Mus musculus: one gene and its partners. The main gene of each other region encodes a partner of the protein of the gene in region 5 in a complex. Links are inferred from orthologs where the notes say so. Each region holds a gene or a part of one and is shown on either strand. Other genes may lie near its edges.

The links.
Region 1: Igf2bp1 (region 5) and G3bp1 share a complex: the UniProt entries of both Homo sapiens proteins name them as parts of the TAU mRNP complex. The link is inferred for Mus musculus from reciprocal best matches to the Homo sapiens genes IGF2BP1 and G3BP1.
Region 2: Igf2bp1 (region 5) and Dhx9 share a complex: the UniProt entries of both Homo sapiens proteins name them as parts of the coding region determinant (CRD)-mediated complex. The link is inferred for Mus musculus from reciprocal best matches to the Homo sapiens genes IGF2BP1 and DHX9.
Region 3: Igf2bp1 (region 5) and Ybx1 share a complex: the UniProt entries of both Homo sapiens proteins name them as parts of the coding region determinant (CRD)-mediated complex. The link is inferred for Mus musculus from reciprocal best matches to the Homo sapiens genes IGF2BP1 and YBX1.
Region 4: Igf2bp1 (region 5) and Elavl4 share a complex: the UniProt entries of both Homo sapiens proteins name them as parts of the TAU mRNP complex. The link is inferred for Mus musculus from reciprocal best matches to the Homo sapiens genes IGF2BP1 and ELAVL4.
Region 6: Igf2bp1 (region 5) and Hnrnpu share a complex: the UniProt entries of both Homo sapiens proteins name them as parts of the coding region determinant (CRD)-mediated complex. The link is inferred for Mus musculus from reciprocal best matches to the Homo sapiens genes IGF2BP1 and HNRNPU.

The regions. Positions count from the first base shown.
Region 1 is NC_000077.6:55,468,517-55,472,551, reverse strand, and holds the start of G3bp1 (ras GTPase-activating protein-binding protein 1), read right to left. Parts: upstream 2,801-4,035; 5' UTR 2,751-2,800; intron 1-2,750. UniProt on the Homo sapiens protein: Protein involved in various processes, such as stress granule formation and innate immunity. Plays an essential role in stress granule formation.
Region 2 is NC_000067.6:153,463,661-153,467,160, forward strand, and holds part of Dhx9 (ATP-dependent RNA helicase A), read right to left. Parts: coding exon 3,372-3,500; intron 2,118-3,371; coding exon 2,017-2,117; intron 1,409-2,016; coding exon 1,195-1,408; intron 1,053-1,194; coding exon 958-1,052; intron 754-957; coding exon 680-753; intron 1-679. UniProt on the Homo sapiens protein: Multifunctional ATP-dependent nucleic acid helicase that unwinds DNA and RNA in a 3' to 5' direction and that plays important roles in many processes, such as DNA replication, transcriptional activation, post-transcriptional RNA regulation, mRNA translation and RNA-mediated gene silencing.
Region 3 is NC_000070.6:119,291,714-119,296,013, reverse strand, and holds the start of Ybx1 (Y-box-binding protein 1), read left to right. Parts: upstream 1-1,500; 5' UTR 1,501-1,650; coding exon 1,651-1,810; intron 1,811-2,208; coding exon 2,209-2,272; intron 2,273-4,300. UniProt on the Homo sapiens protein: DNA- and RNA-binding protein involved in various processes, such as translational repression, RNA stabilization, mRNA splicing, DNA repair and transcription regulation.
Region 4 is NC_000070.6:110,284,035-110,288,071, forward strand, and holds the start of Elavl4 (ELAV-like protein 4), read right to left. Parts: upstream 2,801-4,037; 5' UTR 2,460-2,800; coding exon 2,436-2,459; intron 1-2,435. UniProt on the Homo sapiens protein: RNA-binding protein that is involved in the post-transcriptional regulation of mRNAs. Plays a role in the regulation of mRNA stability, alternative splicing and translation.
Region 5 is NC_000077.6:95,967,945-95,971,444, forward strand, and holds part of Igf2bp1 (insulin-like growth factor 2 mRNA-binding protein 1), read right to left. Parts: intron 2,848-3,500; coding exon 2,725-2,847; intron 2,041-2,724; coding exon 1,905-2,040; intron 978-1,904; coding exon 855-977; intron 539-854; coding exon 419-538; intron 1-418. UniProt on the Homo sapiens protein: RNA-binding factor that recruits target transcripts to cytoplasmic protein-RNA complexes (mRNPs). This transcript 'caging' into mRNPs allows mRNA transport and transient storage.
Region 6 is NC_000067.6:178,327,816-178,331,315, forward strand, and holds part of Hnrnpu (heterogeneous nuclear ribonucleoprotein U), read right to left. Parts: intron 3,447-3,500; coding exon 3,278-3,446; intron 3,032-3,277; coding exon 2,777-3,031; intron 2,532-2,776; coding exon 2,350-2,531; intron 2,125-2,349; coding exon 2,053-2,124; intron 1,593-2,052; coding exon 1,539-1,592; 3' UTR 1-1,538. UniProt on the Homo sapiens protein: DNA- and RNA-binding protein involved in several cellular processes such as nuclear chromatin organization, telomere-length regulation, transcription, mRNA alternative splicing and stability, Xist-mediated transcriptional silencing and mitotic cell progression.

The DNA of each region.
Region 1 (4,035 bases), about 40 Mb from region 5:
CCTTTAATCCCAGCACTTGGGAGGCAGAGGCAGGCGGATTTCTGAGTGCGAGGCCAGCCTGGTCTACAGAGTGAGTTCCAGGACAACCAGGGCTACACAGAGAAACCCTGTCTCAAAAAAACAAAACAAACAAACCAACAACAGAAATACAGGGAAGGGCTAGAGAGATGGCTCAGTGGTTAAGAGCACTGACTGCTCTTCTGAAGGTCCTGAGTTCAAATCCCAGCAACCACATGGTAGCTCACAACCATCCATGAGATCTGATGCCCTCTTCAGGGGTGTCTGAAGACAGCTACAGTGAACTTAGATATAATAATAAAATCTTTTTAAAAAAATACAGGAAAATCTAGTATATAAAAGATGACAATTTTGAAAAAAAAAAAAAGCCAACCTGCTTTCAAGCAGGGTCAAGAACAGACATTTCTAAAAATCTAATGCTCAGGCACTATACTGACAGCTGATAACTAAAAACCAGAATGTGAATTAAAAGAAAAGAAACTAGCCAGATGTGGTGGCGCACGCCTGTAATCCCAGCACTTGGGAGGCAGAGGCAGGCGGATTTCTGAGTTCAAGACCAGCCTGGTCTACAAAGTGAGTTCCAGGACAGCCAGGACTATACAGAGAAACCCTGTCTCGAGACAAAAAAAAAAAAAAAAAGAAAAAAGAAAAGAAAAGAAAAAGAAACTGCGCAGTGTAGTACCTGTTAGAACCTTAGCTCAAAAGACACCTCCACCAGCAGTAACCTCTGACCTGCTCGGAAGGGAGCAGCCAAGGCGGTCAGTCACTGCTTCAATTCACTGCTTTCTGACACTGAGCTAAGGAGTCAGTTTCTATCTATCCCTATCCTACTAAGCACCTGCCTGAGGCCAAGAGTCTTTTGAATGTGTGGGGATGAGATTAATAGCCATCCCCTTCAATTCGATCATTTCCCCTTGATATATCTGACCTCAGTAACACTACCTGGACTCAAACTTCCCAAGTTAGAAAGCAGGTCACTGCCTTATTTTAAAAGGTGATGAATTACTAACATTCGCCTACCCCTCCGTGCAGGTTAAGTAGAACCCGTTCCAAGGAAACAATGTTATATTCAGAAGCAAGGCAGTTAAATTCAGCATGCATCCCCACAGCGTTTGGTTCTTCGTTGCCACTTTGTTAAATGTCAGTGGTCTTTAACTTTTTGCAAGGATGTGCCCCTCAAGAACTAGTCCTGAAACTTCTGTTGTAGTCTTCGATGTGAAACATCTGCCATTTAACGTGCTTTCTAGCCAGGGGTTAAAGGCAATCCTCAGCATAGAAAGATAGGCTGACCACAGATCCTTGAAAATAGCTTTGCAACCCGTAGAAGTCAAACCAAGTAAGTACTAAAATAAATTACTCGGTTGGGCTTAGTGGAGGCACCTTAACTCTTGGCACCGAGAAGATTCTGAGATCCTCTTGAATTCCAGGCCAGGAAGGGCTCCACAGTAAGAATTTTTAAAAAAGGCAGTTGATCATCGATGGTTCGGCAGGAGACCTAATGGCTGTGCTTGCCAACAAACCCAATCGGTGACTGTGACCCACTGCACAATAACTGGACACTGGACACCATCCTCTCCCCAGCAATTTCAGATGTGACTTATTTTTGTGGCTCTGGTGACTGAACCCGGGGCTTCCTGTATTCCATGCCAAGTGCTCCACCTCTGCACTGAAGCCCGGGCCGGTCCTATCCAATTTCAAACTTTAACTTCAACTCTTGTAAGAATTTAAACACTTTGTTTCCTTGGACTTACGACCTTCTCAAACAAAGGTTTTTTTAATCTAAGTTTGTTCTGATTCACAACTAAAACATTCTAAGTTAAAAAGGGGTCTTGAAGAGTCAAGATCTAATGTCAGAGTTTGACTTCCTGTTGGCGGGAATTTCCCGTTACCTCGAGGTGCGTTTCGGACCTGCTGAGAGGCACACTCGATTACATTACACTCACTGTATTTTTCTCTATTTTTCCCAGAAGCTAACTTGGAGGCGCATCTATCTATCTATGTAAGTGCGAAGAAAGCTAAGTCTTCCTTTGTCATTCAAAACCCCACTCCTAATCTCTTCTCTGGAGTCCCCCACTGGCTCGCAGATGCCACCACGGGACTTCTTATACTGGGGTTTGCACCTCAGATTCAAGAGCTCAGTGGCCGATGGTGTCCCACAGCCACGTAGCCTGCACAGATGCCTGTCCTTTCCCTACAGAGGGCCTTGATTCCACCTCGTTCTCCTGTTGACTGGACCTACCTGATTGCACCCAGGTGACCGGGAAGGGCGGGAAAAAAGGGAACTCTCGGCATAGTGCAGGGGGAAACAGTGGGGGGATTGGAGAGATCACGTCTTGGCGTGGCTGTCTCTGCACCACTGAGCCCTTGAACCCGGGGTCGCGCGCCTCCGTTCTGCAACCCTGGGAGGCGCGATCACGCTCTCAGCTTGGGCTCCCCCAACCCCCATCCCCATATCCGAAGGCTTCCTTAGGGTCCAGGCCCAGCTATACCATCCGGAAGAGCCGGCGCGCGCCAGAGAATGCGCGTGGAGCACGCAGGGCCGGCCAGACGCGTGACGCCCGCCGTTGGTGCGGTGGACCACGCGCGGGCCCTAAAGCGCAGGCAGGAGGCCGCGCCGGCCGTTGGTGGGGGTGGGGACGCGCCGCGCGGTCTCCCGGGGCGCCCCGCTCGCGGCCGCAGCTCGGCTCATGCCCGGCCCGCATCCGATCAGCCCCACCCGCGGGCCCAAGTACCTGCGCGGCTGAGCGGGAGGACAGGGCTGCTACGTGGGAGGAGGTGGCGGCGTCCCTCGCGCGATGCCGCGGCACGCGTGCCCGCCGCCCGCTATATAGCCGCGCTCAGCCGAACCTGCTGCTCCCGGTCGCATGCAGGGACCAATGGCCGCCTCGCCACCGCGCCCCTTGGCTATGATTGGACAGCGTCTTTGTCTAGAGGCCGAGCTCCTGAGTGGCTGCCGCATCTGCCTATAACTGAAGGAGCTAGAGCCCAGATGGACACGAAACCTCGCCAATACTCAGATGGTCTATAAAAATGAGGGCGGGATGCACTGAGAGCGACACTCAGACAAGCCAATAGTTGCATGCACCCGTTCTCATTGGCTTACATTTCTTTTTCTGGGCGGAAACCCACTGTCCAGGCAGGAGCGGTTGATCCACAAGGTGGGGCCCGTGTACTTTGGGGAAGTAAACCCCATGCAACTAGGAGGTAGGCGCGGGCGGGGAGCAAGGAAGCCCCCAGCCAATCGCAACACCGAATGGAGCTGATTGACAGGGAGGGATGGCCCTCTCCAAAGGCAGCCCCAGGGCCGCCGTGCCCTCTGGAGCGGTTAAGAGGATGGACTAGCTGCGTCTTCCGTTCCCTTTCCTTTCTCTTCCTCTTAGGTTGAATCCTGTCCTCGAGGACCGGTCTCCCGCCTTCCCAGGCGACTCTGGTACCCGGGATCTAAGTAACAGTTTCCCGGGTTTTGTTTTTTTGGTTTGGTTTTTTTCTCTTCGCATCAAAACTTTTTTTGCATGCATTTCGGAAGAGCAGGAGCTGCTGACCCTTAGCATTACTCAGCACGAATGCAGTGGCGACCGAGGACAGCGAAACTGGCTTGGTCGGCACCCCAGAGCATACCGCGAGGCAGCCTCCCTGGCGTTTGGGAATGCTCTTGTTCCCGGGTGGCTTCCAAGCTGGCGTGCCCGGGTGGCTCCTGGACGTTTTCAGGTTTTCCAATCTTGTGATTGCAGAGACAACATCCCATCTTTGATCACCCTCTGGCTGGCGAAAGTTATAGGATGCGTCACCACCAGCCATTGTCACATGCTTTTCAAACTGAAATGGGAACTTTACCCAACTCCTAGGCAGACACGCCTAAGGTTCCCCCATAAAGGCTCCAGGGTCCAAATAGTAGTACCTCAGTCTGCTGCTGACCCCAACTCGGGGGGGTTTTGTGAGCCTTCTGGCCACCATGAGCATTTTATATTAAGAGCTGTGATCCAAATGCTAAACACAAACTAGACTAGTCTGTGTTCC
Region 2 (3,500 bases), on a different chromosome or scaffold from region 5:
AAGTAGTACCCTCATGTCAACTGTCTCATGCTAAGTAAGAATTGTATTTATACAAAAAACAGCATGAAAAATTCAGGTAGCAAACAACCAATGGGATGACCAAATAAAAGATCCCATGATAATGAGAAGTCAGAAGTTAGAAGTAAATTTTGGCTATATACTAAACCTGGTAAATATTCTTAATCTAAAATCAGTGTATACAAACACATGGTGCCTGTATGGCATATAAAAGTAAAATTTGACAATGAAGTTTAAAAACTAGGTGTGAGAGTATGTAGGTGTGTGAAACTATAGTATTTGAGAAAGAAAAGACAAGTCTGAAGGGGAACTACCTCCAAAAAAAACCAACCAAACAAACAAACAAAAAACCAACCAAACAAACAAAAAAACCCAAACAAACAAACAAACAACCAAACAAACAAACAAACAAAAAAAACCAAACAAACAAACAAAAAAACCAACCAAACAAACAAAAAAACCCCCGACCAATTAGGTGCCGAAGAGACAGCTTAGTGGTTTAAACTACTTGCTGTCTTACGGAAGAGCTGGGTTCAGTTCCCAGCACCCACATGAGCACCATGCACACAATTAGTGCACACATATACACACATGCAGGCAAAACCCTGATGCAGATACACATACCTTACTAAAAAGAAAATAACAAGTTTTGGGAACTTACTTGCAGGAGTCAATGACGTAAACAACATCATTTATGGTAATGCTTGTTTCAGCAATGTTTGTGGACAAAATAACCTGAAAAAAAAATGGTATAAATTTACACTAAAAACTTTCTGCTTATAACAATACAGCAACAGGATTAAAAAGAAAAAAATGATCAAATATGGAAAGACTTTTCTATAATTTTTGATACTTTAGCATTTCCCTAGTAGCTCTTGGAACATTTATTAATAGTTAACATCTATATCACATCTGATCTCCTTGTGATGCCATATTTACCTTGGTTACTCCATCTGGTACTGGATCAAACACTTTGCGCTGTTCCTCACGAGGAATCTGAGAATGGAGAGGTAGAATCTGATACCGGTGACTTCCTATGAAACACAAAGGTTAAGGACAAAACCTAAGCAAGTTTAAAACAAATGTTCTTTACAAATGGTTTTAATCAACAGACATTATCATCCAGGACAAAAGCAAAAAATACTCAAAGGCAATCTAAAAAAAAAATACTCATACCGAAATGCGAATTATTTTCTAAATGCTTTTGCATAGTATAAATCAAGTTCCAGCCAGGTAAAAATACCAACACAGCTCCAGGAACATTAAGGGTTTCAATGTATTTAAGAAGCGCCTCAATAAGTTCAAAAGGAGTTTCCTTTTCATTCAACTGAGACATGCTCAACTTTGTTTCTGGCCCATATTCGTCACCACATATTAGGTTGCAATTTGCCTAGAAGAAAAATGAACATGATTTTTTGGTCATTTATTACGGCTCTTAAATGTCTTTTTCTACACAAGTGACATCTAAATGTCTTTTTCTACACAAGTGACAGTCATATGCTGTCAGAGATTGACATCAGTTACTTCCATCTATGTCAGGCAGCTCATAACTGTCTTATGTCTCCCCCAGTAAATATCCCAAATAAATATGAAACTTTCCTTTAAATGAACAAATTTTAAGTTAAAAGTTTTAAAAGTTAGTAATGTGTTTGCAAAGTCTGGGTTCAAATAAAATACCCAACATTAACGGTCCTGAACTGAATTAAAGGATCTCATGTAAATGTGATGGAGAATATTCCATTTAGACTAATAATTTTCCAGGTACTCTGACATACAGCAACACAACACAAAGACTTCATATACTGGAGTATATAACCTCAACAGTTCCATCATTGATTATGGAATTATTTGAATAGTCACTAAGATATCACAAATAATTAAACAACCCTGCAATGTCAATTATTCATGCTGTGCTTCAACTTAAACAACTGTTCTCCATCAGATATTCTCATAATTAAAATTCTTTAGTCCTGAAGGTATAAAGAAAAATTTACTTACATCATCATCTTCACCACCATCATCCTCCTTATCCTTCTTTTTCTTGTCCTTTGGAGGAGGAATGAATTGAGTCATCTGAATGCAGTCTTCCAGAAAATACTCTGTCAGGGACAATCAAGTTAGTTAAGTACACAATAATTTACAAATGATACAGTTGTAAATTCACTCGCTAATCTACAGTTAAATCTCCTTTAATCCCTATCAACTTGAGTCTTCACAAACTAAGAAATTATAGCAGTAAAATTTCATAGTCAAATTTAACTAAGGTAATTCATGAATATAGTCTTACAAAACCAGCTGGGCTTTCCTCTTTATACACTTATCATACACTCTCCCCACCAAGATCTCAACATATAAACTGGAAGAATGCTACCAATCAATATATCTGAAATTCTAATAAGCCAAGAAATGTATAATTATATCTTGCATATTTCAACCACAAAGTGACTCCCCAAGATTGCAAACCAAAGACACATACACTTCCACCTAAATTAATGTTCACCAATTTTGTTGAGTGTTAAGCTGTGCTCCCTTGCCACTGGGAACTACACACTTCAGGAACCAATTACTACCAAATTTACTTAAGAGTTGGGGAATCAAATTTCAACAAGGAAAAAACATCTATACTTATTACTTAGAATGCCTTAGAATGAAATCTGTAGTTATCACTTAATTAACATCCTTTTGGGTATATACCCTTATTTTAAACTTTGGATTTAAAGTAGTACCATCATAAACTTTCCACTCAAATTGTACCTCACTCCTGTGCCTGCTGATTAGGATGTGAGTTTTCAGCTACTACTAATTCATGCCTGCCTGCCTCCCCCTCACACCATAATCATGAACTAACCCAAAACTGTTAACTTCAATTAAATGCTTTTGATGTCTTGGTCATGGTGTCTCTTCAGAGAAAGACAAAGACATCTCTAACTGTCATCTGTAAGAACCTTAGTGACTATCCTCTATCATACACCCATTAATCTCTTTATAAATCTTTGAAGAGAAGCACAGCAAATACTATAACTTTAAAACCCATAAACAAAGAAATACATTAGCTTCTATTTCAGAGGTACATAAAACTTTCTTGTGTATTGTATATTCCTGTTTGTGTTATCTTCCAAAATTGCTTCTCACCAATCATGAGCTCACCCATAAACCATCAAACCCTAGAAATCCTCACCCCAGCATCCCAGCCCCAGGACTACAAGCCTCGTGTCACACAATACACACACACAAGCTAGATGGGGATTTAAAATCAGGACCTTGTGCTTACACAGCACAGACTGAATGAGGTATTTTTCCAACTCAAACTCAGCACAAAATCTGTTTCCTATCACACTTTACACAAAATTTACCTTGAACTGGGAAAGTCCTTCCATAAACCTCAATGATGGGGCAATTGAAGAAATATTCACAGAACATGGTGGTATCAATAGTTGCAGACATAAGAACAATACGGACTTCAGGATAAGCCAAAACCACAT
Region 3 (4,300 bases), on a different chromosome or scaffold from region 5:
TCCAGTCTTAACATCAGGACTGCAAGTGATCTAACCACAGAGCCACAGAGCCATCTCCACAGAGCCATCTCTCCAGCCCTGGTCTTGGTGGTGGTGGTGGTGGTGGGGGGGGGAATGAGACAGGGTTTCTCCTGGCTGTCCCTGAACTCACTTTGCAGACTAGCCTGGCCTCGAACTCAGAAATCCGCCTGCCTCTGCCTGCCAAGTGCTGGAATTAAAGGCGAGCGCCACCACAGCCCGTCGGATTTAGCGTTCTTTTTGTATTTCTAGTTCATGCTTTTATTTACTGGGAGCTAGGAGTATGCCACAGTGCTCGTGGGGAGGTCAAGCTACAGCTTACAGGAAGAGGCTATCTTTCTCTTTCCATTATGTGGAGCTGAAGGCAAGAACTCAGGTTTGGCCAAGTGCCTTTACACACAGAGCCATCTCAGGTCCTCTTGTTTCCCCCACTCCCATCCCTTCTCTCTCTGCAGCCCCTTCTCCAAGCAGCAGCCTTTTCTTTCTTTAACGATGCTACTCCTTACTTACACCGCGAAAGCTACACTGCTCACCGGTGATCAGGGGAAGAATCTCAGGTTAAAAACACCTCTGCCCACCTCTGATTCCTACTTCGATTGGTTTCCTTTATTTGCAGTCTCCGTGAGACCCTATCTTTTCTAGGCCTTTGCACAAACCTACCTTTGCCTGAAATGTCACCACCCAACTCTTCCTGCTCCCACTCCCCAAACGCTGTGCTCACCCAACCAAGAAGTGGTGGGCGTTTAAAATTCCACCATCAGAAAGCAGAAACTAACTGGCAAACTACTTCAATCCCCAGTCAATAGTAGATGCGTAATAAAGAATGAATGAAGGTAGGCGGAGGGCTTCAGAAAGAAGGCAGCGTGTGTTTTACAGTGTATAAAAACAAGGATAGCAATCCTTGTCTACAGTGCTTAGTTTATAAAGTCAAAAACCCTAACATCCAATAAATGTGAGGCGAAATTAAATCTGATTTGTGGCCAGTATGAAATACATTTCCTCGGACGCCGGGGGAAACGATCACCCCCGCCCTGAACACGCTGAGTCGTGGCAGCTCCAGCGCCTGCGTGGTCCCTCCAAGGTGACTGGATCACCAAAAGCCTGACCCATTAAGGAGGCCCCGGCGTTCACCCAGCCGTGGGAAGGAGCCCCTTCTAGGAGGCCGGAGTAGGCCCGGCGATCGCGGCCCACGTGCGCGACGAGCGCAGCCCCATCTGGGAACGTTCCCTCTGCGCGTCCTCCCGGTACTCTATGGTGCTCACGGCCGAGGCTCTCATTCTAGTTCCGGTCTCTATGGCGGCGGAGGCCTGAGAAGCTGTGGGTCGGGCGAATTAGTCGCTAAAGATACCAATGAGAGCGCAGGAGCCGCGGAGCGTGAGCCAATAGGCGCTAGAGACCCGGTCAGGTGGTGAGATGGACAACGATGCGGACCAATGGGGGAGGACGAGGGCGGGTCTATCGCGGGGCTTATCCCGCCCGTCCCGCCATTCTCGCTAGTTCGATCGGTAGCGGGAGCGGAGAGCGGACCCCAGAGAGCCCTGAGAGCCCCACCGCCGCCGCCGGCCTAGTCACCATCACACCCGGGAGGAGCCGCAGCCGTCGCCGCCGGCCCCAGTCACCATCACCGCAACCATGAGCAGCGAGGCCGAGACCCAGCAGCCGCCCGCCGCCCCCGCCGCCGCCCTCAGCGCCGCCGACACCAAGCCCGGCTCCACGGGCAGCGGCGCGGGTAGTGGCGGCCCGGGTGGCCTCACATCGGCGGCGCCCGCCGGCGGGGACAAGAAGGTCATCGGTGAGCGCCAGAAGGGACCGGGGATGGGGCCGCGGGCCGGACCGTTAGGCGACGCGGCCCGAGCCACGGACTACGCGGCCGCCCCTCCCCCCCGAGGCCCGCGGCGCGCGCACACCGGGATCCCGCCGCTGCTCCGGCCGCCGCCGCCCCTCCCCCGCGCCCACCCGCCCCGGGGCCTCGTGCTGGGGTCCCCGCCCCGCCGCCTACGCAGCCGGAGGAGCGCGGGCTGCTTCCCCGGCCCTCACGTGCTCGCCTCCCGGGCGCACACCCACCTCGGACCCGCGCTACCCGGCGCACCCACGTGTGCGGCGAGGGCGGCGGCCCGGGCCTGCGGCTAGATCCTGGACCGACTTCCAGGGCCAGCCGGTGATTGGACGTTGTTGTGCTTTGTTTTCCAGCAACGAAGGTTTTGGGAACAGTCAAATGGTTCAATGTAAGGAACGGATACGGTTTCATCAACAGGTGAGATGCCGGGGTGGAAAGCTCGCGTCCGCCTCCTGCATGGGCCAGAGCCACCGCGGGCATGACAGGGTGGGGGATTGGGACCCTGTGTTTCTTCCTTGGGTGACGGGATTAGCGGGTCTGTAGACTCGCTTTGTGTTGCTGTTAAGTACCGATCTTGAGCTAGCCTCAAAAAGCTTTGGCACAAAGCAGGTCAAGGCAGGCGCGTCGCATGAGCCATGCCTTAACAGTTACCTTGCATCAAACTGAGGCAACTCCAGGCTAAGCACGCTTTTAACCTTGACATCCCTTTCTGCTTTGAAATTGCTATGTAAGAATGTGACCCGCTAATTAACATACAGGTGATCTTTCACCTTGTTAACCTCTCGGGGAACGGGATTTGACATGTCAGTTGCCTGAGATGTTATCTGTACTGTAAGGTTATGTTGCCTTTGTTTAGACTACTCGAATATTCAGTCCATTTAGTACCTCGAGCACATTTTTCCTATAGACCTTCTGTAGCCAAAGAGGGCTCTTCTTATTTGTCCAAACGACGAGTAACGTATCTGAAAGGAAATGGTTCTTCCTCATTTTTTATTTCTCTTACTTCCTTGTCAGGGAATCATGCTGATCAAATCAATTTTTGTTATAGCTTGCTGGAGTGGCCATAAGTCCTTGGGAACTTAGCCTTCGTTGTATTTGGCTTAGAGTTGTAAACTATACCTTCATAGATCCAGAGAAGGGTTTGTAGACGGCGGTGGTAAGTGCAGGCGCTGCCTGCACTCTGGGCTCCCTTGTGAGCCCGGCATCTTTTTCAAGATGGCTGCCAAGGCTAGTGCAGTTGCATGGGTGTAGAGCCCCGCGAGTGCCAGCAGCAATCCTGGCCGTACAGCTGTGATACTTGGCGCCATTTCAGCATTTTCTCTTACATGCTCGCTTAGAAGGCGTTAAATAAGTAGATGGTGAAGAGAGCGCTACAGAGTGGCACAGTGCTCGTGAATGGGCAGCTATAGGCTTTTAAAATAACGGAGTGATGAAAAACATTCACTGATGAACCCCACACAGTCGTGGAAACACTCAAGCAAAAGCGATTACAATCACTTAATGGACTGTTCTCTACAGTTGCAATTAGAGGGAAACATTTTGTTTTTCCAGACTCTAGGATTTCTCCTGTCACGGGCAGTTTGCCTTTCTGACCATGTGTCCTGGGTTCCTTCCCCCCCCCCCCCCCCCCCGGGTTACTAGTGAGCAAAGAAAAAAAAATGTAAGGCTTTGGTGCTTGTGGGGTTGACGTCCTGGTGGCTTTTAAAGTGGTCCTTATTCCTGGTTGGGTTAAAATGTTCATCCTGATGGTCCCAGGTGATGCGGAGAATAGTCTGCTCTCACCTTCCAGAGGACAATTTTAACCCTCAGTCCATTATAACTAGCTAGCCCTCCTTAGCAGCCCTTCCAGTTAGGCAAATTGTGGTTTTTGTATGTGTTTAATACATTTTAATATTTGTCTGGGCTTGTCACATTTTTTTGAAGTAGTGTCTATCTAAGATGTGTATACCTCAGTTTTACATTGTACATTATGTAGGTTACAGCACTTACCATCAACTTTGTTGATCATCCTTCCGGACAAGTTAAATGTAAATTGGCTTTTGATGACTCTTTGTTAGACTGCCTTAACCTCAATTACTATTTAACTGCTTAAACTGTGCTTTGTTTCTAAGCAGGCCATTATGTTAATGCTGTGGTTTTTAAATGAGATACACTGTAAATTCTGGTTCCTGTGAGCTAAAGGTTTGTCCTAGTTAGGAAAAGTATAGGGTATGAAACAGTGGAAATAACTTGACTCCAGAGGTGGTCAACCTGTGTAAAATGGGAGATTCAGTTATTGCAATGCACTGAATTCTGGATTATATATTCTAGGTTCTTTAGCTATTTTATAAACTACGTGGAAGATTTCATTTCTGCCTTTAGAGAGAGGTTTGTTGACTGGTGAATTCTTACAACTTGGTCAGAAATCTTTGTCCTAAGGCTTTTCTTTTGTTTTTTTGGGGGGGG
Region 4 (4,037 bases), on a different chromosome or scaffold from region 5:
TTTTTATAGAAACCATTTCCCCTAACTAAAACCTGCCAGAAAATTCTCAGAAAATAAAACTTTATTACTGATAATAAAAACTATCTTATTTTAATAGATTATATGTGGTTATGCACTAACGAGAGAAAAACAAGGTTCAAGCATAGGACAAAAATATGTTTATTTTTTTACCTTAAGAGTAAAACCAAAATAATACTTCCCCCAACCGGAAAACAAAACAAAACAAAACAAAAAAACATTTTCACAGGAAAAACAAAAATGGTGGGGCCAATGGTGCAGATTTGTAATGGAGAAAAAACAAATTAAGAGGATTTTCAATAAAGTCAATTATATTTTCCACCCTTGCAATACATTTGAGTTTCTTAATCTTTCATTTTTGGGCTTCAAATTAGCTCCTCGATTATGTATCTCTATTGTCACCAGGAAGCAACCACAACTGAGGACTATTTCAGGTTTCATTTATGCTGCTCCGATTCACTCAAGTACCCTCTCTGTTAGTGCTTTTTGGTTGGGACCCAGCATCACTGGGAAAAAGACACTCCTGAGACAAGCACTCAGAGAGAGGAGTGAGAGATGCCTGACATCCAGCATGTGCATGGGTCCCACCACACATCAAGAGACACTTACAAAAGATCACCTTCTCACTCAGTTTATGCCAAGACTCAAGACAAAATGCATTTGCAAGTGGGGAGTATGGATGGATTCTGTGGCCGGAGGAATGGGCAGTGGAGGAAAAGGTTGTTCAGTTATTATACCCTAAAGACATTTATTTATACTCCAGATCTAAAATGAGAGATACGATGAACTCTTTGAAACTACAGTAGCAGCATCCAATGTAGTAAAAATGCCAGTATCACCTAACACAAAAATCACTGGCTAGTATAAAGCTAATCTACTTATATTTTTCCTATGAATAATTGCTGGAAATTTTGGAGAAATCATTTGCAGAACCTACCAGCTGTGGGAATTTACTACTATGCTTCTGTCAACTTCATTCAATATAATTTACATTTTTTTCAAATGGTCTCAGAAGATTTCTTGTAATTTTTTGCACGTACAATTTCACAGCAGGGAAAGAGGGAGAGGGAGAGAGAGAGAGAGAGAGAGAGAGAGAGAGAGAGAGAGAGAGAGAGAGAGAGAGAGACAGAGACAGAGACAGACAGAGAGAGGGACACAGAGAGAGACAGAGAGACAGAGAGAGACAGAGAGAGAAAGAGAGAGACAGAGAGACCCTATTCTCCCTTCCCCCTTCTCTCTCTTTTTTAAACAAACAAACAAAAAGAAAAAGAGGAGAGACTGAACAGATGCTTAAAAATAGATTTGAAAAATCACTGTAAACCAGAGTTAGAAATGTAATTAACACCTATTTATGAAGAATAATTAAAGTTGGGCTAGTCACAAAGAACAGCAAAGATAATCGAGGTCCTGTCCCCCCTCCTCCCTTTTTACACTGTTTGCAGTGTGTTCTCATGATAGCCACCTGCTCCCTGCTCGGCTTTGCCTCTGTTCGTTTCCCCGGCAACCTTTCATTGGGTTTTCCTCCCAGCTATCGCTTTCAGTTGGGCTGCTCGGTCTAATCTTATTTGTTTTACACCCATCAAAACAAGCAGCCAGACAAAGGCAATCCTCTAAGAATGGGAAAAAGACCATAGCTTTGTTATAACATCTATGCAGAGTGAAAAGTCCTCCTTGGGCTTCTCTGATTTTTTAAAAAAAAAAATGAATTTATACCTTTCCCCACTACCCAGTCCCCAATCCCCTGAAATATATTGCTGGTGAAAATTCAAAGTCAAAGTGGGCACTCATGGCATCAATTCGTGCCATTTTGTGCCATATCTTTAGGGTCAACACCAGGAGACAGGAACAACACTCAAGGAGTTTCCCTGTTTCTTTTTCCAGAAAAAGACGATGCTAAAAATAGATTTACTACTTCGGCAGAAAGGTTTTCCACTTCCCTATCCACATCTCAAAGTCCTGTTTCACAATTGCATCTGCTGGTACTGAATCTCACCTCCTCCACCCCTCATTCCCTGCCTTCCCCATCACTCCTAGCACGAAGACTGAAAAAGAAATGTGCCTTTAACTTTAACAGTCGTGTAATTCGGCTGAAGGCTCACAGAGGCGGTGGACACGCCAGCCAACAGTGACGGTGACATTGTGATTGTCAAAAAAAGACACCAACCTTGCTTGCCTAAAATGTGTTTGATGGAAGGAAGAGACAGTATATGCCTTGTGTGCATGCAATGCCATTATACTTAGAGGCAGATTCTGAATTTCAGAAAAAGAAATACTAATACACACATGCACACACACGCATACCAGAATAGTGATTTACGATGCAGTCCACCATCCTTACACACACACACACACACACACACACACACACACACACACACACACGGCTGGAACCTCCAAGCTGCCTTCTTTTCACTTACCATCTTCAAGCCATTCCACTCCATCTGTGATCAGAAGATGGACCCTCACACAGTGTGTCAAAAGCAGAAAGGAGCGTTATGTAAAAGCTGACATTCCCTTCTTACAGAGCTGCTGCCCAGAGAAGGAAGCAACAACTCAACACGCCAGGCACCGCTACACATACAAGCCGCCTCCTCTTTTTATGAGGTCATGACAGGAAACTCTTTGAAATACAAGATGCAGCGTTTACTGAAGCCCAAATAAATCACTCTCTTTGCCGTTTTGACTGCGCAGTCCCCAGAAACACAACTGCCCATCTCAACGTTCAGCATCCAGGAGCTGCCTCTCGAGGTTTACATTTCCACCAGCACAGAAATGGAGAGATTCCTAACCCTGCTGCATCCACCCAATGCCCCACAAAACCCAGGCATGTAGACAAGCCTCTTCTCTCTTACAAAAAGAAACCCCCTTCCACCCCCTCAGATGGTCTCAAGTAATAGAATCTCTTTCAACAAACCAGCAATTATTTCAGCCCATCCCCACCCTCGGCTTTTATGTGGAAGGGAAAACTGACAACGACCTGTTAAAAATGACAATCTCTCTCCCCACTGCTTTTCAAAAAAAGGACCTACCCGCACGCTACACAAAAGATATAGTAAATGAAGGAACAAGAGAGCAGCAGAGAACTAAACTCTCGTGCAAGCATTAAGACTGGCCAAGGTGTAGACGCTTGTCTTCCCTCTAGCAACACGAACAACAGATTACATATCTAGGCATACCTACCATAACCATTCTTATTGGCAAATATTGGGTCTCGCAGCGCTTCGACTCTTCTCTTAAAATTTGCAAAGGTTTCAGAATATACTTAAAAATGACTACTATTGTTTTATATATATATATATTAAAGATCCACAGACCACAGTGTGGATGATTGTAAAGTAAATCTATTATTGGGAGGGGGTGGGGTGGGAAAGAAAGGGGGAAAAAAAAGAGAGGAAGAAAAGGCGCAGTGAGCTGAAACCCCCGATTCTAGGATGTAGATAAGAACAACTGAACAGAGCCTTGCTGAAATTGGCTCGAAGCTTCCCCTTTTTACATCCATTTATGGGACCATCTGTCAGCTGAAGCCAGACTCTGATTGGCTGGGGAAACGAAGGGAGGCGTTGCAACATCAGGTGCTATTTAAATTAGCTACTGCCAGATTGACGATGTTAATGATCTGGTGACCTCTACAACAACAGAGACCAGATTTCTGAACTGCTTCTTGTGTCTGGTAATTAAAGCCCGGCTGAAGCAACAACAGCCATGCTTGTATTTTTTACCTTTTACCTTCTTCCAGCTCAAAAAGTCCTGTCACAACTGCAGGTCATTGGAGGACTGCAAGCCTTCGCAGTGGGAGTGTCCTTCCTTTCTGGGTCCTGGGGGATACAGGAGCCCATCCCTCCGATAGAGGGCTTTTTCTGTGGAGAGTATTTTCAACCACCTTATCTTTCTTGACAGTTGCTTTCTAGCGAAATGCATATTTAATGATCTGCCTCTAGGCTTAAAGATACAACAAAAGCACTTTAATGTGCTAATAATTCTACATTTTAACTTTATTATTTCCCAGTATCGCTGGTTTT
Region 5 (3,500 bases):
GGGAGGAAATCACAAAGCTTTAAACACCATTGAAAGAAACCTGTGAGGTTAACAGCACTGGCTTCCTTGCTCTCTGGGATCCTGGATCCAGGATGGTTAAAAGACAACCAGCACAGGCAGTGTTCACTGTGAGGCACCACCTGCTTCCTGGCCTCCCACACAAGGACACTGACAGACTTGCCACACCAGGCAGTGTGACACTGAGACTCGGCAGCAGGCGATAAGGATGGGGTTGGGAGGAGGTCTATTGTGGCAGAATCTCACTCAGCCTGCTGTGTGTTAGTCCTGCTACCTGTCCAGCCTGGAAACCTAGAAGCACTGAAGACACCCGCAAGGGACTGGGCTTTTCACTCCCAGTGTGACGTGTGAAGGGGGCTGGAGTTGATACTAGACCTAGGAGAACTCAAGAACAAATCACCTTGATGGAGGCGCTGGCGAAGCGGGAGAGTTGTTTGATGTGCTGGCCCTTCTTGCCAATGATGGCGCCCACAGCCTGGGCGGGGATGAACACTTGTACCATCTCCTGCTCCGGAGCCTGCTGCCAGAACAGGGGACTCCTTACCAAAGGCCCAGGGAAGGGGGCGAGGCAGGACCCAGGAGCCCCTCCACTGGGCTGCCATACAGCCTCCAAAAGTAACAGGTGCAGATACCTAGCTGCGCCCTGGGCTATAGGAGGACGCCATGAACTCTTTTTCTCTCCCTTCCAACTAAAGGGAGCTAAAACCAAGTGGAAAGCTGCTGCCGACGCCTCAGCTGGGCTCTTCTCCTTGTAGCTGGCATTCTGGCTGCAGAGGCCTCTCTTCCCTCCCTCTTGCCAATGTCCCAAGCCCTGGGTAACAAGACCTTCCACCTACCATGAAGGAGCTATAGGGAGCAGCCCCGGTGACACTGCTGGGAGGAGGAGGGACAGCGCTGGATGAAGCTGGGAAGAGACCTACAGCAGCCAGGTTAAGCCCAGGGATGAGGTGGGACTGCAACTGCGGAGAGAGGCGAGGCACAGGTCAGCCTGCTGACAGAACCCTAGCATGCGGCTCTGGCAGGATTTCTAGGTCTTGCTGTCTGTCACCCACCAAACTCCAGGCTTGGTAAAAGCCATGTCTATATGAAATAAGAAGATGACCCCTAATGTCCCCCTCAAGCTGCTACATATGCACGCCTAACCACCCACCCACACGCCGAACTACCCACACAGACACATTAAAAAAACGGAAAATCCTATGAGCAGATCGTGGTAGCACATGCCTGTAAGGCCAGCACTCGGGAAACTAAGGCAGGAGTGAATTCAGTTCTAGCCTACAGAGCAGAGCGCAGGACTGTCTCAGAAAAAAGCTGAAGTTGGGATCCTTCATCTCCTACAGTATACAAGCTTAACTAGATCAAATCACACAGATCACAGAGTGGTTAAAGTACAGAATCCATGAAACCCAAGACTTTGCCCCCAATCCCAACCCAGCAGCCATGTAACGAGCCCTTGTGAGTAAATACAGCTACCCACGCCAACAACAGACTGTTTACCTACAATGTACAAGACGCTAGACTTCATCCCCAGCACCACCACCTCCACAGAAACAAACTTAGATGAGTTAAGTCCAAAAGCACAAACTAAGGGGCTGGAAAGGTAGCCCACTGATCAAGGGCACTGCTATTCTTCAAGGACTTCACATGGTGGGCCACAACCATCTGTAATTTTAGTTTTGGAGAATCCAATGCCCTCTTCCAGCCTCTGGGAACCTGGGACGCACACAGTGTCCTGAGATAGATGCGAGCAAAACCCTTGCTAAGTTCAGAGAAGGCTGCAAGAGGAGCTTGGGATATAGCTCCTCCAGAGGTATCACTTTCGCCTGTCTCCAAGGCCTAGACTCAACTCCCAACAACACACGCAGACGGTGCCGCCTCGCACTCACGCTCATGGCGGCCACGTCGTTCTCGTAAGCCTCTCGAACTTTCTTCATGATCTCCTGCTCGGCCCTGCAACAGTTCTCAATGGCGCCCTTCACAGTGATGGTCCTCTCAGGGTTATAGAGCGTGAGGTCCTGGAGCCTGGCAAGAGAGCAAGACAACGTCAAGCAGTGGGCAGCACAGGGCGGGAGCCAGACCCCAGCTAGGGGCAGAGCCGGAGACAACTGAGTTACTGGTCCAGCAGTTCTAAAGGACGTCTAACTTCCGGCAGGGAAGCCCTATCTCCAGGCTTCAGGTAACCAGGGCAAGGAAACTAAGCATACTCACAACAACTCCGTCTGTGGGAACACAGGCTATCATGAAAGGCTGTGGTCAGCAGACACACAGAGGCTGCAGGCAGAACTTGATGTGCTACTGTGCAATAGTTACTCTGCAACAGCTCTAAGGAATGGAGAGGCAGGCTGCTTACAGGCAGCTAACCCACTCCTGTCACTGCTCTTCAGAGGCAGCCCTGTGTGCCACAGCTGAAAAGAACCAAGGTTTGTACACCTTGTACAATGGCAGACACACCTAAAGGCCAGACCTTCGCTGCAGGCTTTCGTGGGGATGCGTGTGTCTAGAATGTTGTACCAAGGGCAGGTATTAGGGTGCTCCAGCCCTCATTGAGCAGGACAAAATGTTCTCCTCACGTCTCCGATTTGATTGTCCCAAGAGGGAGGTGCTAAGGCCCAGTGGCAGGTCCCTCATCCCCAGCCTGAGCTCGGCACTGCTGTGACCCCAGCCTGAGCTCGGCACTGCTGTGGAGGGAATCACGGAGAAACTCACGATGAGATGGTGATCTTCGTCTCTGTGTCCTGCTCCACCTTCTTCAGGTTCCGCCCTTCCTTGCCAATGAGTCGCCCGACGAAGTTGTTATGAGCCAGGATCTTCAGGGGAACTTCATCTGCCCTGGAAAGGAAGTAGGGGACAGCTCGGTCAATGATGTCAACAAAGGTTACCCAACTATGTGATGAACCCAGAAAAAACCCTGAGCCAAGTGTCAGGATACAAGCCCAGCAGAGATCGGTGTTCTGTAAACAGAAATGGCGGATGAGGATGGCAGGGTGACATTTGGGAGCCACAGCATTATCTCAACTGTGATCACGGTCAGCAGGTACATTATCAACACATACAAATCGAAATCCATACAACTACACACTCAAAATATATGTGCAGTTGTGTTTGAGGGTTTAGCGCAGTAGTACTGTTTAGCTTGTCCAGCATGCATGAGGCCCAGGCTCTAACCCTAAGTTGAAGGGGGTAAGGGAGCAGAAAAGACACCCAGTGTATCCTGTAGGCATCTGCCGATAGTCCCAGCTAATAAGGCTGAGGCTGGAGGATCCAGAAATTCTAGGCTAACCTAGGCAATGTCCTCAAACAAACATAGCATTGTTATACTAGTTGAACCCTAATAAACCTGTATAAAAAACAAGACAACAACAACAACAACAAAAACCAGGGGCTAGAGAGATGGCTCAGTGATTAAGAGCACTGACTGCTTTTCTAGAGGTCCTGAGTTCAATTCCCAGCAACTACATGGTGGCTCACAACCATCTGTAATA
Region 6 (3,500 bases), on a different chromosome or scaffold from region 5:
GTGAGGCTCCTTTACAAGATTTAAGTGTTCTGTGCAAACCCAATAAAATTACAATTAGGGGATCTAATTTATCACATAGCTAGTTAAGTTAGCAGCATTGTGTAGTAGTGAAATCAATGACTGGCTTGCATGATGGCTTCTAAAAGCATCTGTTCCCAAAGTTTCATGTATTATATGTCTATTATCAGGTGAGGACAGCCACTCACATTTCATAAACATGGTCAACTGAACATTAACTTCTCCCAGCCAGTACCTTTGCCCCTCATAAATGTTAAAAGCAGTCTTGGGGGGAGGGGAAGGGAAGAATTCAACTTTATATTATAAAATCAATCATCAGTATACATTTAAGTTTTTAAAACCTAAATGTTCCGAAGTACAGAGTAAAGAATAAGCTGTCCAGAAAGCACACACTTAAAGTTTCTCCTCTTGGGAGTCATACTATAAAGGGATTTAGACCTTGATGGCGAGAATCCCAAACAAGAGTAAAATGAATTCTTTTTATTGCAAACAAACGTCTAAATTAATTTCTCCACCCACTTTCTTTAGAAAGAAAAAGAAATCAGCAGGCTAAGGAGATACCCATTCAAGAACTGACATGATTAAAAATTAAGATATAAATGGGTGACTCACAATTTCATTAGCTTACAAAGATGGTGGAGTTAACTACTACAAGCACACTAGTAATACAGTATTTGTGGGAGAAGGGCATACAGACATAGCTAACTTCATATAGATCCCATTAGACAACTGGATTTACAACAAGTTTTTTTAATAAGAAATGGGCAAAGCCAGCTTTCTTTTCAGAATCAAAATGCAGAACAAATGGAAAATTTTATGGTATTTAACCTTCACAAGTTTGAGCCTCCACATATAATGCAACCAAGTTTACATTTTTGAACAGCCCTTCTACATACACTCCATCTTCTCAATCTTGGTTCCAAATTTTATCTTCATTCCCAATTATGCCAATTCCATTGTCAAACAGAAAAAAAATAGCCTTCCCGTTTTGTCAGAGATTACCCGTCCACTATTACCCGGCAGGCAGTCTAGAGAGGATGGAGTGTATCATGAGCAGTACAGAATCTTAATGCAATTCATGAGGACCCCTTAGTCCTTCCATGAATCTGGCTGCTAACATTGCTATTTTATTGTGACAATGACTCCCGACTGTTATTCTCTGTGAGAAATGGGGGAGTAAATGCTTAATAAAAGACACCAGGTACAAAGCAACATTTTACTTTTGTTGTGATAAAAAAAAAAGTCACATTTTACAGATAAAATGTAGAACCCTGAAATACTGACACATTCTCTTATCGTGCACAATGCTGAGGTTCTCTTACGATTCACTTTAAAACTGCAATTAAAAATGTACAAAAAAGAAAAGAAAAAAAAAAAAATCAACCCACAAAGCTTCTAAAAAAGGAACCCGCAGGCACTTCCTCTTGTGGAATGTTTAAAAAGTTAGCCTACTAAAGAAAACAGTCGACTTCTTGTGAAGGTTTTGGAGAAATATGTATCAGTTCGTTTTATTTGGGTATTCAATAATATCCTTGGTGATAATGCTGACTCCATGGCTTCTGACCCCAGAATTGCTGTAAGAGAAAATTTTGTTTTTAAAGAAAAAAACATCAATAAGCCACTCAAATTGTTTTTAGGAAATGACAATGATCTAATTCAGAGTAATTGCTGGAAACAAATTTATCACACTTAATTTCTACATCAGATCAGAGACTTAATTTTAATTTACCAATTACCCATATTATTTACCAATACACATTACCAAAGGAAACACAAGACTTAGGGTTAGTTTATGTAATTAAAACTATTAAAAATGACCATGTAGTAAAACAACCATATGTATTAAATATTACTTTATCTAAAGTAATGTTAAAATCCAGCCTATCCATGGTTACAGTAACAATAACACAGTAACAATTTATAGACACCTTGTCCTATTAAAGTATAAAACTCTTCAATTCCTAGGTAAGAACTTCCGTCTCAATCTTGTAAACATAACACATAATTTATGTAAGCATTTAAGAAACTACTTACACCCTGCTGCCACTGATTGTAGCCCTGAGATTGATTTTTGTAGCCACGATTATTTCCTCGTCCTCTGAAGTTCTATGAAAGTTTAAAAAAAAAAAAATCTGTTAAGAGCTCTCAAGCAATGGTTGGCTATTTTTTAGGGAGGGGTAAGCAGAAACCCTTATTCCCCAAGCTCACTGCTGTTATTAATGACCTGAAAAAGCAAAGTCCAATAACTAAATTGTTTCACAACTATGTCAACGCCGCCAGTTAAGACTCCCAACATCCATTCATCTACAACATTTCAGGGCAAATCAATACCTGGTTATAGTTCCCTCTGTTGGGCATTCCACCTCTGTTGTAATTCCCTCTGTTTGAGTAACCACCTCGGCCAGGAAAAACAGGGCCACGTGGGTATGGATAGCCAATTCCACCACTTCCACCGCCACCACCTCTCTGTGGCATGTTGCCTCTCCTATTATATCCACCACGATTCCCAGGAGCTAAATAAATGCACAAAGGGTTTAGTTTAGCTGTCACACATTTAAGGAAGAGTTCATACAGTTATCTCTTATCATTAATGAAAAAGTAAGCAATGCCCAGTTTTAAGTATACCCAATACACTCCCCTCATTGTGTATTAGTCAAACATGGCAGCAAATTATCAAAGAAACTAACTTCCTATTTAACTTAAAAAATAAACTCATTCATTTTCAAATTCCAAATACCAACAGGCAAAATTAACTTGCCTCCTCCTCTGAAATTGCCACCTCGCATATTGAATCCTCCACGGCCTCTATGGCCACCACCTCTGTTGAACTGGTTCTTGCCACTCTTATTCTTATTGCTTTTCTTTGAGCCAGTGTTTTGCTTCTTTTCTGGTGGCAGTGCCTTTTTGCTTTCTTCTTTATATTGCTCCAAAAGCTTTTGGGCTTCCTCTTTCTGAAGTTCAACATAGGTTATTTCATCAAAGCATTCTGCAACCTCTGGAAGGGTGAAGTTTCCTACAGGGAATCAAGTCAAACTTATAAATCAATTATGAACATGTAAATTCTATAAACTTTATCTCTGAATGTGTTTAATTCTTTCAACTTTCAGTTATCTGGTCACGGCCTTCATCACATTCTTTGTATAATAACCATACAAGTTTCTATTTAGCAGATTAATATAATCTCTAAGTGTGAAGATATTTTCTAGGTATAAATCCCCAAACCGTACTTAAGACAGTAAAAATAAAGTGAATTCCTTGCCTTTCATCTTGAGGACAGCATGTTCTGGTAGGTCCTTCCCCTCTACTTCTGCCTTCTTCTGTGTCCTCTGCTTATAGTCTTCATCTTTTGGGCACACTACAACAGCTTTCCGCTGGAAGCCTGCAAACAGGCACATTTTTCTTCTCTGGGCAGCAGCAGACACATTTGTCTTGAGGGGAAAATGTTAAAGACGTTAATGTTACACCTTACCAATTATCAGTTG